Arabidopsis thaliana: one gene and its partners. The protein of the gene in region 1 interacts with the protein of each later gene in a pairwise test. Each region holds a gene or a part of one and is shown in the gene's direction. Other genes may lie near its edges.

Region 1 (3,754 bases):
CGGGCACAAGCAGTTCATCAGGAGCTGCAAGTGAAGATAGCAATATTAGACCTGAGTTTCCTGCTTGGGATATCCTCAAAGCCGTTCCATATGTTGTCGATGCTGCTTTAACCGCTTGTACTCATGGAAGGCTTTCGCCTCGTCAGTTAGCTACAGGTTTGTTTTGTTTTGCTGGATCAGATTCCTAATTGTGTTGTCATGTGCGATAACATCCGTCTATATGACCTTTGGCAACTCTGAATGCCAATGAGAGATGTTTGACTGTGTTGATCAGTTGTTATATCAGATGCATTTCTTACAGTAAAGTGAATTTATTTACAGAATAACAAGTGTTTTTCTTTCAGGGCTGAAAGACTTAGCAGATTTTCTCCCGGCATCATTAGCAACGATAGTAAGCTATTTCTCAGCTGAGGTGAGTAGAGGTGTTTGGAAGCCAGTATTCATGAACGGCGTGGATTGGCCAAGTCCAGCTACAAATCTATCCACTGTTGAGGAATATATAACGAAAATTCTTGCAACAACAGGCGTCGATATCCCTAGCCTTGCTCCAGGTAAAACTATTCAACGTGTTTAAAATGCCAGTCTGTTTGTTTGGCTTACCATCTCTGTAGTCTGTACCATCCTCTCTTTATAATAAGCTTTTTACCTGTCCTGATTTGATGTGTTAAAGTTAAAGTTGTCTTTTGAACTTATGGTTGACTTCTTGCTGTGGTATTGCAGGAGGGAGTTCTCCGGCAACGCTTCCTTTACCTCTAGCCGCATTTGTTAGTCTAACCATTACTTACAAAATTGACAAAGCCTCAGAGCGGTTTCTCAACCTGGCTGGCCCAGCTCTGGAGTGCTTGGCTGCAGGCTGCCCTTGGCCTTGCATGCCCATTGTAGCTTCATTATGGACCCAAAAGGCGAAACGTTGGTTTGACTTCCTTGTTTTCTCTGCCTCTCGCACCGTCTTCCTTCACAACCAAGACGCTGTGATTCAGCTCCTCAGAAACTGCTTCAGTGCCACTCTGGGTTTGAATGCTGCCCCCATGTCAAATGATGGTGGCGTTGGAGCTCTTCTTGGCCATGGATTCGGCTCTCATTTCTATGGAGGGATCTCTCCTGTAGCACCAGGGATTCTTTATCTCCGTATGTATCGTGCTCTCAGAGATACTGTCTCCGTATCGGAAGAGATTCTCTCTCTGCTGATACATTCGGTGGAGGATATAGCCCAGAACAGGCTCTCAAAGGAGAAGCTGGAAAAGCTGAAGACAGTGAAGAACGGATCAAGATACGGCCAAAGTTCTCTAGCAACAGCAATGACTCAAGTGAAGCTTGCTGCTTCGCTGAGTGCCTCGTTGGTATGGCTAACCGGTGGCTTAGGTGTGGTCCACGTTCTCATCAAAGAAACGATCCCATCTTGGTTTCTATCAACTGACAAATCAGACCGAGAACAAGGACCATCGGATCTAGTTGCAGAGCTAAGAGGTCATGCCCTTGCCTACTTTGTGGTCCTATGTGGAGCACTTACTTGGGGCGTGGATTCAAGATCATCTGCATCCAAACGCCGCCGCCAAGCAATCTTGGGAAGCCACTTGGAGTTCATCGCGAGTGCCTTAGATGGGAAAATATCAGTGGGATGTGAAACAGCAACTTGGCGAACATATATTTCCGGTTTGGTGAGTCTAATGGTGAGCTGTTTGCCGCTCTGGGTGACAGAGATCGATACAGAAGTGTTAAAGAGTCTAAGCAATGGACTAAGAAAATGGGGAAAAGACGAGCTAGCGATTGTATTACTCTCCTTGGGAGGTCTCAAAACAATGGATTACGCAGCTGATTTCATCATTCATTTGCGTTCATAGCTTCTTAAAAAGTTTTGATCTTCTCCAGATTTCAGATAGTTGTTTGATAGATGTTTTTCTTCTAGTGTTTGCTTCCTTGTTGTGACTTGTGTTCTCTAGCTCCAGTGTTGTGTGATGAAATCAATCACGCATATGTATAGAGAGAAACAGAAAAAAAAAAAAAAAAAAAAAAAAAAAAAATCTTGTATAGAAAATATTAGTGTACTATTCTAGACCGTTAGATGGATTAGTGTTCTATTTGGAACCGTTAGATGACTCTCCGTTGATTAGTTGGTCACAAGTCACAACAACATGTTAAAAGAAAACGAATGATTGAGTTTGGTTTCTTTGTATCATCTCTCTGTTTTTCCGAAGAACTAACACATGTCGGGACCTCAGTGCTGTGAAAACCCGCCAACTCTTAACCCGGTTTCCGGGTCGGGTCATGTCGAGAAGCTGGGTGGGCTTGATGCCTACGTCTCCGGCTCTGCCGAGTCCAAGCTCTGCGTCCTCCTCATTTCTGATATTTTTGGTAAAATACTCTTCTTTCTTTGCTTTGATCTGTTTTGACTTTCTTTGTTTTAGTTGAAATATGATCGGAGTAATTAGGGTTTTTGTTTTTCTCTTTTTGGATCCGTTTTGTTGATTTGATCATTGCATCATTGTTGACTCTGACTTTAGGTACGTTTTTGTTCTTCAGGTTTTGAAGCTCCAAACTTAAGGTACTACTACTAATTCTTCCCTCTTCATCGATTCAACCATTAAAAATGGAATCTTTAACTTGGGTTTGTTTCTTTGAAGGAATTAGATAGTATTTAGTAGCCACATATGAGGTCTAGTTAGAATTTTCATTTGAGCCTGCAAATAGTTTTGTTGGTTTTGGATTATGTACAAGATGAAGCATACCTATCATGTGTCTTTAAGTTGACTTGTCTTTTCTGAACTCATTTGATAAGATCTAAATGTTTAATTTGAATCATTGCTTTGATTGCATTGCATTATCTCAAGTTTATCTTGTACAACTATGGAGGAATGTTTATGGAGTGTTAAGTCTTAATTTTATGTCTTAAGGGCGCTTGCGGACAAGGTTGCAGCTTCTGGATTCTATGTTGTGGTTCCTGATTACTTTGGTGGAGATCCTTATAATCCCTCTAACCAGGACAGACCCATCCCTGTCTGGATCAAAGACCATGGCTGTGTTCGTTCCTCCTCCTCTCCTCCTTATAATAACTGTCCTATACATTCTCAACTTCTATTTGAAGTTTTGTTAACAAGTTTGACTCAATGTATGTGTTATTGTTCTGTTATTTTGATAGATTCCATCTGAATCAGTTCATATCCTCTTTTGTTTTTCAGGATAAGGGCTTTGAAAACACGAAACCAGTACTTGAAACCATAAAGAACAAAGGCATAACTGCCATTGGAGCCGCAGGGATGTGTTGGGGTGGTGAGTTTTTGTTAGAAATCTATGCCTAAGAGATGTGACGCTCTCTTTTTGTCTAATGGATAGTACTTTTCTCTCTTGTGTTATTCATCTTCAGCAAAAGTAGTGGTGGAACTGTCTAAAGAAGAGCTTATTCAAGCAGCTGTGTTGCTTCATCCTTCTTTTGTCAATGTTGATGATATCAAAGGTTAGTGACTTTGCTACTTCCATCTTGATTCCTCACATAGAACCAAGGAACATTAGTTGTCATGCCTTGCCTAATGCGTTGTAACATTTAGAGTCACCTATAGGATTGCGTAACTGATCTCGCCATGATTAGATACTATCATTATTACTGTAAAGAATACTAATTCACATTTGCAAACATAAAAAACACTGTGATTGGTCCGGTTTCTTTACTTTCACCGGTCTTTGATGATCCTTATCAATTTCACGGGTTTATTGCAGGTGGGAAGGCTCCAATTGCTATATTAGGAGCTGAAATTGATCA
Region 2 (3,754 bases), on another chromosome or scaffold:
CCACGGATCCGACTACGTAAGGAAACCCTACAGTTTCAGACAGGAAAGTGGCGGTGCACAACATGACGCAAATGGTGCATAGATGGGAAGCCTTGAGTTTCTTTCCTTCAGGGGTTCTCTTCACTATCCAGTTGAATATTGGTCGGCACACAACTACTATACCAACCAGCAGTAGTACCTTTGTGAAGGTAGGCAGATAAGTGGTCTTGGAGTAATTTTGATGCAAGAAACTGTCAAAGGTAATCAAAAGGAGGAAAAAACCCCAGCCGAAGCAGTTAGCCACCATTATGGAGGAGAGGGCTAACCTTCCGGGCTCCGAGTTCAGCATCTTGAGATTCGACAAAACCGAATACGCCACTTGAAAATACACTACGGATTGGTTTGTTAGTAAATTGTGGAGCTGCTCGGGATTATTTTTCGCCACGGTTCCACGGATGTTGCTCGTGATTACTGTACATGCTATGGCGCCCACCACGTAAGGAAACAGAAAAAGAGATAATCCATTGATGATTGCTAGCTTGCCTCCTCGCTTTATAACTCCCATGTCCACTTGAGCCGTGCTTATGTATGAGATGAACATGAAGGATATTGCCTCAAATGATTCTATTATGAAATAGCTTCTTGTGTTGAATAATTTTTTTACTAAATCAATGTTTTGTCCCAAAGCCGAGGGTCCTAAGAATATCCCAGCCTGTTTCATATATACCAACAAAATATCACACTTCTATAGTTTAAACCTTTTTTTCTTTGCGGGAAATATAGAGAGATCCAAAATTTATTAAAAAAAACGTAGAAAATGGTATGATAAAGTGATTACATACCAGAATTTGAGTGACGAAGTCGACATTTGCGAGAGGGCGGAGAAGAGCTTGGAAGACGGAAGAGAGAGAAGAGACGAGAGAAATGAGAAGAAGAAGAAGAGGAGTTGAATATTTCAATGGATCATCTCCTCTAAGTAATCCGCCAGAGCTTGATCCCAACCATGCCTCGCATACAAATTCATGTGTGCCATTACTTGTAACACTATTGTTCATCTTGTTTCTCTTTGGGAATATTTTTTCTTCTTAAAACTAGTATTCACGTTCTTCTTTATAACCATTTTTGTTTGTGTTTTTGAATTCAGCATAACGCTAACTAATTGAGCAAACAGATCAAGCTTGTTGAGCTGGGGAAGAAGATACATGTATCTTTTTTAAGATATTAAACAGTTTTTGTTGTTTTTTCAAGGATTTTGTGTTGACTTTATTATAACCGTCAGAGAAAAATAGGAAATTATATATGTCATATCTCACTTTGGCAGATGTATTTTTTGGTATTTTACACATTTTTTTTTTATTATAGTTTTATTTTTTTGTTGATCCTGATCTTTTTTAAATTAATACTTATAAGGAGTATTACTAGGTTGATTATTAATTAATCTTTTTTTGTTAGGGATCTAACTTCATGGATTTAGTAGCTAGGTTGGTTATTATAACATCAACATGCAAAATATATATTACAAACACACATGTTTGTGCAATCAATCTCAGGCTATAATGATGATCATCTGACCATGCTCAAGATTTTTGTACCACACAGAAAACATATATAGAAAACCTTAAAAGTAGGATGACCTCTAAAGAGAAATAAAGAACAAGAGGATAAACAACATGTACAATTAAACCCCTAAATATAGCTAGAGAGAGCAGAAACAAAAAAAAGAAGAGAATAATTAATACTTTCTTCTTTTCTTCAACTCACAACACAATCTCTCTCTTTCCCTCTATGGCTTGACTCTTTAGGGGAAATACCTAGCAGGAGGGAATGGAAAATATAACCAAAACTTTTCAGTACGGAGGAGTTGATTGGCTTTGCGAGCCATGGGTAGGTGCAGGCTCTTTGGGGATTGGCCGGGGAGAGAATCCGCTCAAGTTTGCTCTTCCTCTTCTTCTCCTTCAGATTTCTGTCTTTTCCATATTTTCCGTATCTTTTCAGTTTCTTCTTCGGCCTTTTGGAAAATTTGCATTCCTCACTCAGATGCTGGTATACGTTTCCATATCTAAGCATCTATAATTGGAAGCTTTCTAGTGGAAAAATATGGACTAGTCGTCTCAAAAACATGTATAGCCATGCCCATAATGGTGTAAATGTGACTTAATATTTAATAGTGAATTTGTTTGCAGGCTGGGATCTGCTTAGGACCGTCCGTTATAGGACGTAACAAACAGTACATGGCTACATTCTTCTACGCGAGAAGCGTGTACATAATCGAATCCTTCGAGGCCATATGTTTTCTCTTCATTTGCTACATCACAACATGTCAAGTAGACACTAGGATGATAAAGAGAGTAGGCAAGTTAGCATTCATAAACGGCATCTTACTTTTCCTCATACCTTTCGTATGGGGCCAATTCGCGGCCATCTTGATCTCCAAGAGGCTCAAAAGCGGGCCTGCGGGGATCCCTCCCGTGGAGTTCCACCATGTAGCGATCGTCCAGTCCACAATGTTTTTTCAGGTGGTTTACGGAGTCTTGTCGAGCCTAAAGATGTTGAACACTGAGCCAGGGAGGTTAGCACTTGCATCCATGATGGTGCATGACTGCCTCTCTTGGTGTTTTTTCATGCTTAACATCGCCATTAAACTTAATGTTGACTTACCCAATAAAAATCGCGCTGCTTTCTTGTCCGTCTTACAGGTACCCAAGTTGATAAATAATTTCTTAATTAATCTACAAATTTTGCTTTGGAACATCTTCCAATTTTCTTACTATAAAAACATAATTGACTGTGTAAATTCCTACAAAAATAGACAAACTAACTAAGATCCTAATAAAATGCATGAATCCAATAATATTTACGTATAGTATAAACTTGCTTTGATCTATATATACGCTTTTTTATTAATGATATAAAGACGGAAATGAATGCAGATGATAATGATATTGGTGATAGCATATGTGTTCCGACCACTAATGCTGTGGATGAAGAATCGAACACCAGAAGGACACTCTCTCAAGGCCTCCTATCTCTCTGTTATATGCGTCTTGCTCTTCATCTCCTGCCTCTGGGCAGAATTTGTGGGTTTACCTTACTTCTTTGGTGCGGTCGTCTTAGGTCTAGCCACCCCAAAACGTCCGCCTCTAGGCACGGGACTGTCAGACAAAATCGGTTGTTTTGTTTGGTCTGTCCTGATGCCTTGCTACGTCATTGGGATTGGCCTCAATATCGATCTCTCACTGTTTTCCTGGAGAGATGTTATCCGGTTTGAGCTACTTTTTGGGGTGGTCAGGTTTGCCAAAATGATAGCCATTGCCTTGCCTTCCCTTTACTATAAAGTGCCTCTTTGGCACGCCATTCTTGTCGGGTTTATCGTCAATATACAAGGACTTTACGACGTTCAAATATACAAACAGAATTTCAATTACACGGTAACAATAATTCATTTAGGATATACTTTGGAACATATATAATTTTAGGTCAATAACAATCAATAATGGTCAATGGGTGCAGAAAATATCAAGCAAATCTTTTGGAGCAATGGTGATGTCAGCAACGGTAAACTCGACAATTTTCATAGTGATAGTGAAGAAACTGTACCAAACCATGAGCAAACGCAACCCTTACAAGAGACGTACGGTGCAACACTGCCGAGTGGAGGCTCCCCTAAGGATCCTCACTTGTTTCCGGAACCGTGAGGCGGTCCGCCCGGTGCTTGACCTCGTCGAACTCTCTCGTCCAGCCATCGGGTCTCCTCTCTCAGTCTTCGCGGTGAATC
Region 3 (3,754 bases), on another chromosome or scaffold:
TCCCTGACAAAAGGAAACTGAAAACGATTACAAGGGAACGAAAGAAGAAAATATTTTGGTCAAAGAACATGCTTCTCATCATTGAGCTAACGGCCATAACAAAAGACAGATTCGTAAAAAGTTATACTTTCATTTTCGTCCTTGTAACGTTCTTTCAGTCGACCACCAAGTTCCTTCTCCTTTTGTTGCACAGCTATAACCTTCAACTGCACGAAACCATGTGCATGTATATCTTAAATATTTCAACACTTAAATATGTATCAAGACTTGAAAAAAAAACCAACCTCATATAAGTTCCTCCATTTGAAATCATTTACTTTATTCCACTCCAGGTCCTCTATAAGATCCTTCATGTCCTCTTCTCCATAGTGCTTCTTATAGAATCCCTTCCAAAACTTATCGGTGATTGGACTAAGATCTGTGTCCTAGCAGAACAAAAACAACGAAAAAGCATAACTTACGATTAAAAAAACCCCCAGCAAAACATACAAAAGATTAATCGTGCCATATAATGAGAAAAGCTTGTTACGTCAGTAGCATCCTCTATGTGCTTCAGCTGTTCTAGTGTACAGTGTTGCAGAATCTGCTCAAGGAGCTGAAAATCAACCCCACCAACATATCCAATGTACTTTACATTATCAATCGCTTTCCTTACGCAAAGATCAACAAGCGAAGGTGGTTTCTTGGTAAGCCTCTCAAATAACATAGCAGCTTCCCAAAACCTACAAGAAAAAACACACTTTAAATATGAATTAACAAGGATACACACAAGTAGACTATATCACTAATGTACAAAGATACAGAATTCATCAGCTTATGAGAATATTCATATGAATAAATTTGAATTTTGCCTCAAAATTTAAACAAAACGTTAGCTTTGATCATTAAAGTAGGTTCCTTTACACTAAAAAATCCATCAATCATATAACTCATAAGAACGATGCAGATCTTCATAAACTCTAGAGCTTTCTAAATCTAAATTCAAAGGATTTGATTTATGAATTGAGATGATCCAATCAATCAAACCCTCAATTCCAATTCACAATTGAACCAATCTATTTCCAAATCGAAAACAGTAGATGCAGAGGAGGAGGTTACCAAAAAAATTAAAAGAGAGCTGAATCGAAGATTGAACCAGGAAGGAGGGGACTTGTCCAAAGAATCTCTTCGACGATCGAAGAAACCTTTTCCTCTTCCCGGAAGAATGATGATAGCGGTAAACAGACGCCGGAGTTTTTGGGTTTCTTTAATCGTATGTATACTCACCCCAACGATGATGACGATGATGATGATGAATACAATTGGCTAACGCAATTCTCGTAAACGCGCGTTCAAAACCACGATTATCGGCCCTAGTAACGAGTAAGTTATTAACTTATTTATTAACCACCGCGCCTGTCTGATCGCGCCTTCACCGGTTTCACGTGAACACATCGTTTTATGTACACTAAGCATAAAACCGAACCAAATCAAAATAAATGAACCGAATATTAACTCAAACTATAGATTAATTCTTATACCGAATCATATGGACTGAACAAAATAAATCGAAATTCAGTGAAATAAATATAGAGACCTCAAAAAGATATAATACTGATTAAAACCCAAGATCCAATAAATTGGTTTGATCCTTTCAGTTTGATAACATTCGTTCGGTTCAGAATTGGTTTGACTTTTGACCTGTTTCCGAAAACCCAAGATCCAATAAATTGGAATCGAACCAAACCGGAAAAAACAAATGGACAGGACTCATTTGCGATTTTTAAGATTTAGGCAAAACTCTTCTCTGTTTCGACGCAAAAGGAAGCATTTTTAATGGACGCATTGGGTGGTTGCGGCGGCGCTGGTGGTTTCTGGGGATGGAATGGCTTCGATCAACGGAGAAAGAAGAAGTCTTCCGGTGATAGAGGTAAGAAACGTAATTCTGGATCGTCGGATTCCGTCGATGTGAGCAGAGACGCCGGCGGTTATCGGTTTCCTTTGAAGCAAGCTGTGACGGCCGGAGCACTCACTTTCACCGGTGACACGATTGCTCAGCTATCAGGGAGATGGAAAAAGAGAACCGCTCTTAAACAATCATCTTCTGAGCTTGACGAGGTTTGTCTCTGACCAAGTTTTGGTTATTTTCGAGTCATAGATTTGAATTTTAGAGGTTTTAGTGAATGTTTTGATTGTTTGAAATATTACATGAATCAAGTTCCTAGTGTGGTATAGTGAGAATTCTACTGAAACTGGATCTTTGCATAACCAAAAATGTTGGTGAGTATGGTTGTTTAGTGAGTAGTGACAGTCTTTGGTTAGGTTATGTTTGATTTGAATTCTTGTTGGGGTGACTCATATTTACTCTCTTGCAAAATGGTCTCGTACATTGGTGGAACTTGGCTTGAGACTAAGGATTTATGATTGGATCGTTTTACTTAGGGGGAATTGTGGAACATTTTCTCAGAACATGACTGGATTCGTGCGCTGCGGATGAGTTCTTACGGGTTTCTCTTGTATGGTCCTGGTTCTTATGCGTGGTACCAATTCCTTGATCATTCTTTGCCTAAACCAACTGCGACAAATCTAGTGCTTAAGGTACAAATCTAGGCGTGTTTTGTTAATTTGTACTTGGAACACGTTGTGATATAGTTTTTACTGCTTATACTGATCCCATGTTAGGTTCTGCTTAACCAAGTAATCCTTGGTCCATCTGTGATTGCTGTTATATTTGCTTGGAACAACTTGTGGCTGGGAAAGCTCTCTGAGCTTGGAAACAAGTATCAGAAAGATGCTCTTCCTACGCTTCTTTATGGTGAGCTACCAATTACAGAGAGTAATTTTTTTACTATTACATAGCATCGTTCAAATATTTACTGTTCTTGGGATTACTGCAGGATTTCGCTTCTGGGTTCCCGTTAGCATACTTAACTTTTGGTATGGCTTTCTTTCTCTATCATTAAGTCATTTGGAGAGGGTCTTTATAGATTGTGTGATTATGTATAATAGGATTGAGGTCTGATGAAAGGTGAAATTTACAGGGTAGTCCCGCTTCAAGCTCGAGTAGCGTTCATGTCCATGGGTTCTGTGTTTTGGAACTTCTACTTATCTTCAACTATGAGCAAGTAGTTACATTTATATTTGTATTCTTCAGCCTCGCTGAGTGATAATATATCATTCTGAAAGGTTTCAAATACAAAATTACTGTTTACCAAGAGACTATGGAAGGCTCTTCTCATCCTCACTCCTTCCTTTCTTTGAGTATCGCACAACTAATGTGTTACTCTGATCAAACTCATGGAAAACTATCTCCTCTAAAAACTTTAGTTTGAGTGTTTTTCTTGAGTTCAACTACTTGTGGGTGTTGGGATTATTAGTTTCGAGAAGTTACTGTATAATTTTTGAATTTTTATCATTTTAACTCTCAGTAACAAATTACTTTAAACTTTTGAATCTTATGACTTAACCTTTTAATTTTATTCTCAGTGATTGGCCTGATTTTTCCACCATTTATTTTATGAATTCAAATGCCTTTATTTACCGTATTCCGTATTTTAGATATTATTGTTTTAATTTTAGGCTTAATAATGTTTAAATTGTATATTTGTTGTACTGAGAAACAACTTGATTTTTATGTTTTGAGATATATAGTACGGCTACTTTAATTTAAAAATAACCATTAAACCACTAGATTGATTTTTTACCCTATAAAAAATGATGAATCCCGACCCCGATAATCTGGTTTGCTACAATTATTATTTTCTTACAACCAAAG

The links.
Region 2: the proteins of AT3G23600 (region 1) and CHX27 interact in a protein complementation assay, tested with the Arabidopsis thaliana proteins (one large-scale study listed by BioGRID).
Region 3: the proteins of AT3G23600 (region 1) and AT2G42770 interact in a protein complementation assay, tested with the Arabidopsis thaliana proteins (one large-scale study listed by BioGRID).

What each region holds. Positions count from the first base shown.
Region 1 is NC_003074.8:8,471,629-8,475,382, forward strand, and holds the start of AT3G23600 (alpha/beta-Hydrolases superfamily protein), read left to right. Parts: upstream 1-1,998; 5' UTR 1,999-2,204; coding exon 2,205-2,352; intron 2,353-2,520; coding exon 2,521-2,542; intron 2,543-2,891; coding exon 2,892-3,018; intron 3,019-3,176; coding exon 3,177-3,267; intron 3,268-3,361; coding exon 3,362-3,451; intron 3,452-3,711; coding exon 3,712-3,754. Other genes in the region: RFR1 (REF4-related 1), read left to right, coding at 1-156, 345-551, 721-1,841.
Region 2 is NC_003076.8:255,607-259,360, forward strand, and holds the start of CHX27 (cation/H+ exchanger 27), read left to right. Parts: upstream 1-1,699; 5' UTR 1,700-1,803; coding exon 1,804-2,022; intron 2,023-2,162; coding exon 2,163-2,675; intron 2,676-2,909; coding exon 2,910-3,407; intron 3,408-3,489; coding exon 3,490-3,754. Other genes in the region: CHX26 (cation/H+ exchanger 26), read right to left, coding at 1-691, 822-1,034. UniProt on the Arabidopsis thaliana protein: May operate as a cation/H(+) antiporter.
Region 3 is NC_003071.7:17,797,989-17,801,742, reverse strand, and holds AT2G42770 (Peroxisomal membrane 22 kDa (Mpv17/PMP22) family protein), read left to right. Parts: upstream 1-1,670; 5' UTR 1,671-1,815; coding exon 1,816-2,097; intron 2,098-2,421; coding exon 2,422-2,577; intron 2,578-2,661; coding exon 2,662-2,794; intron 2,795-2,876; coding exon 2,877-2,916; intron 2,917-3,020; coding exon 3,021-3,108; 3' UTR 3,109-3,477; downstream 3,478-3,754. Other genes in the region: AT2G42780 (transcription elongation factor B polypeptide), read right to left, coding at 1-3, 128-206, 285-425, 530-706.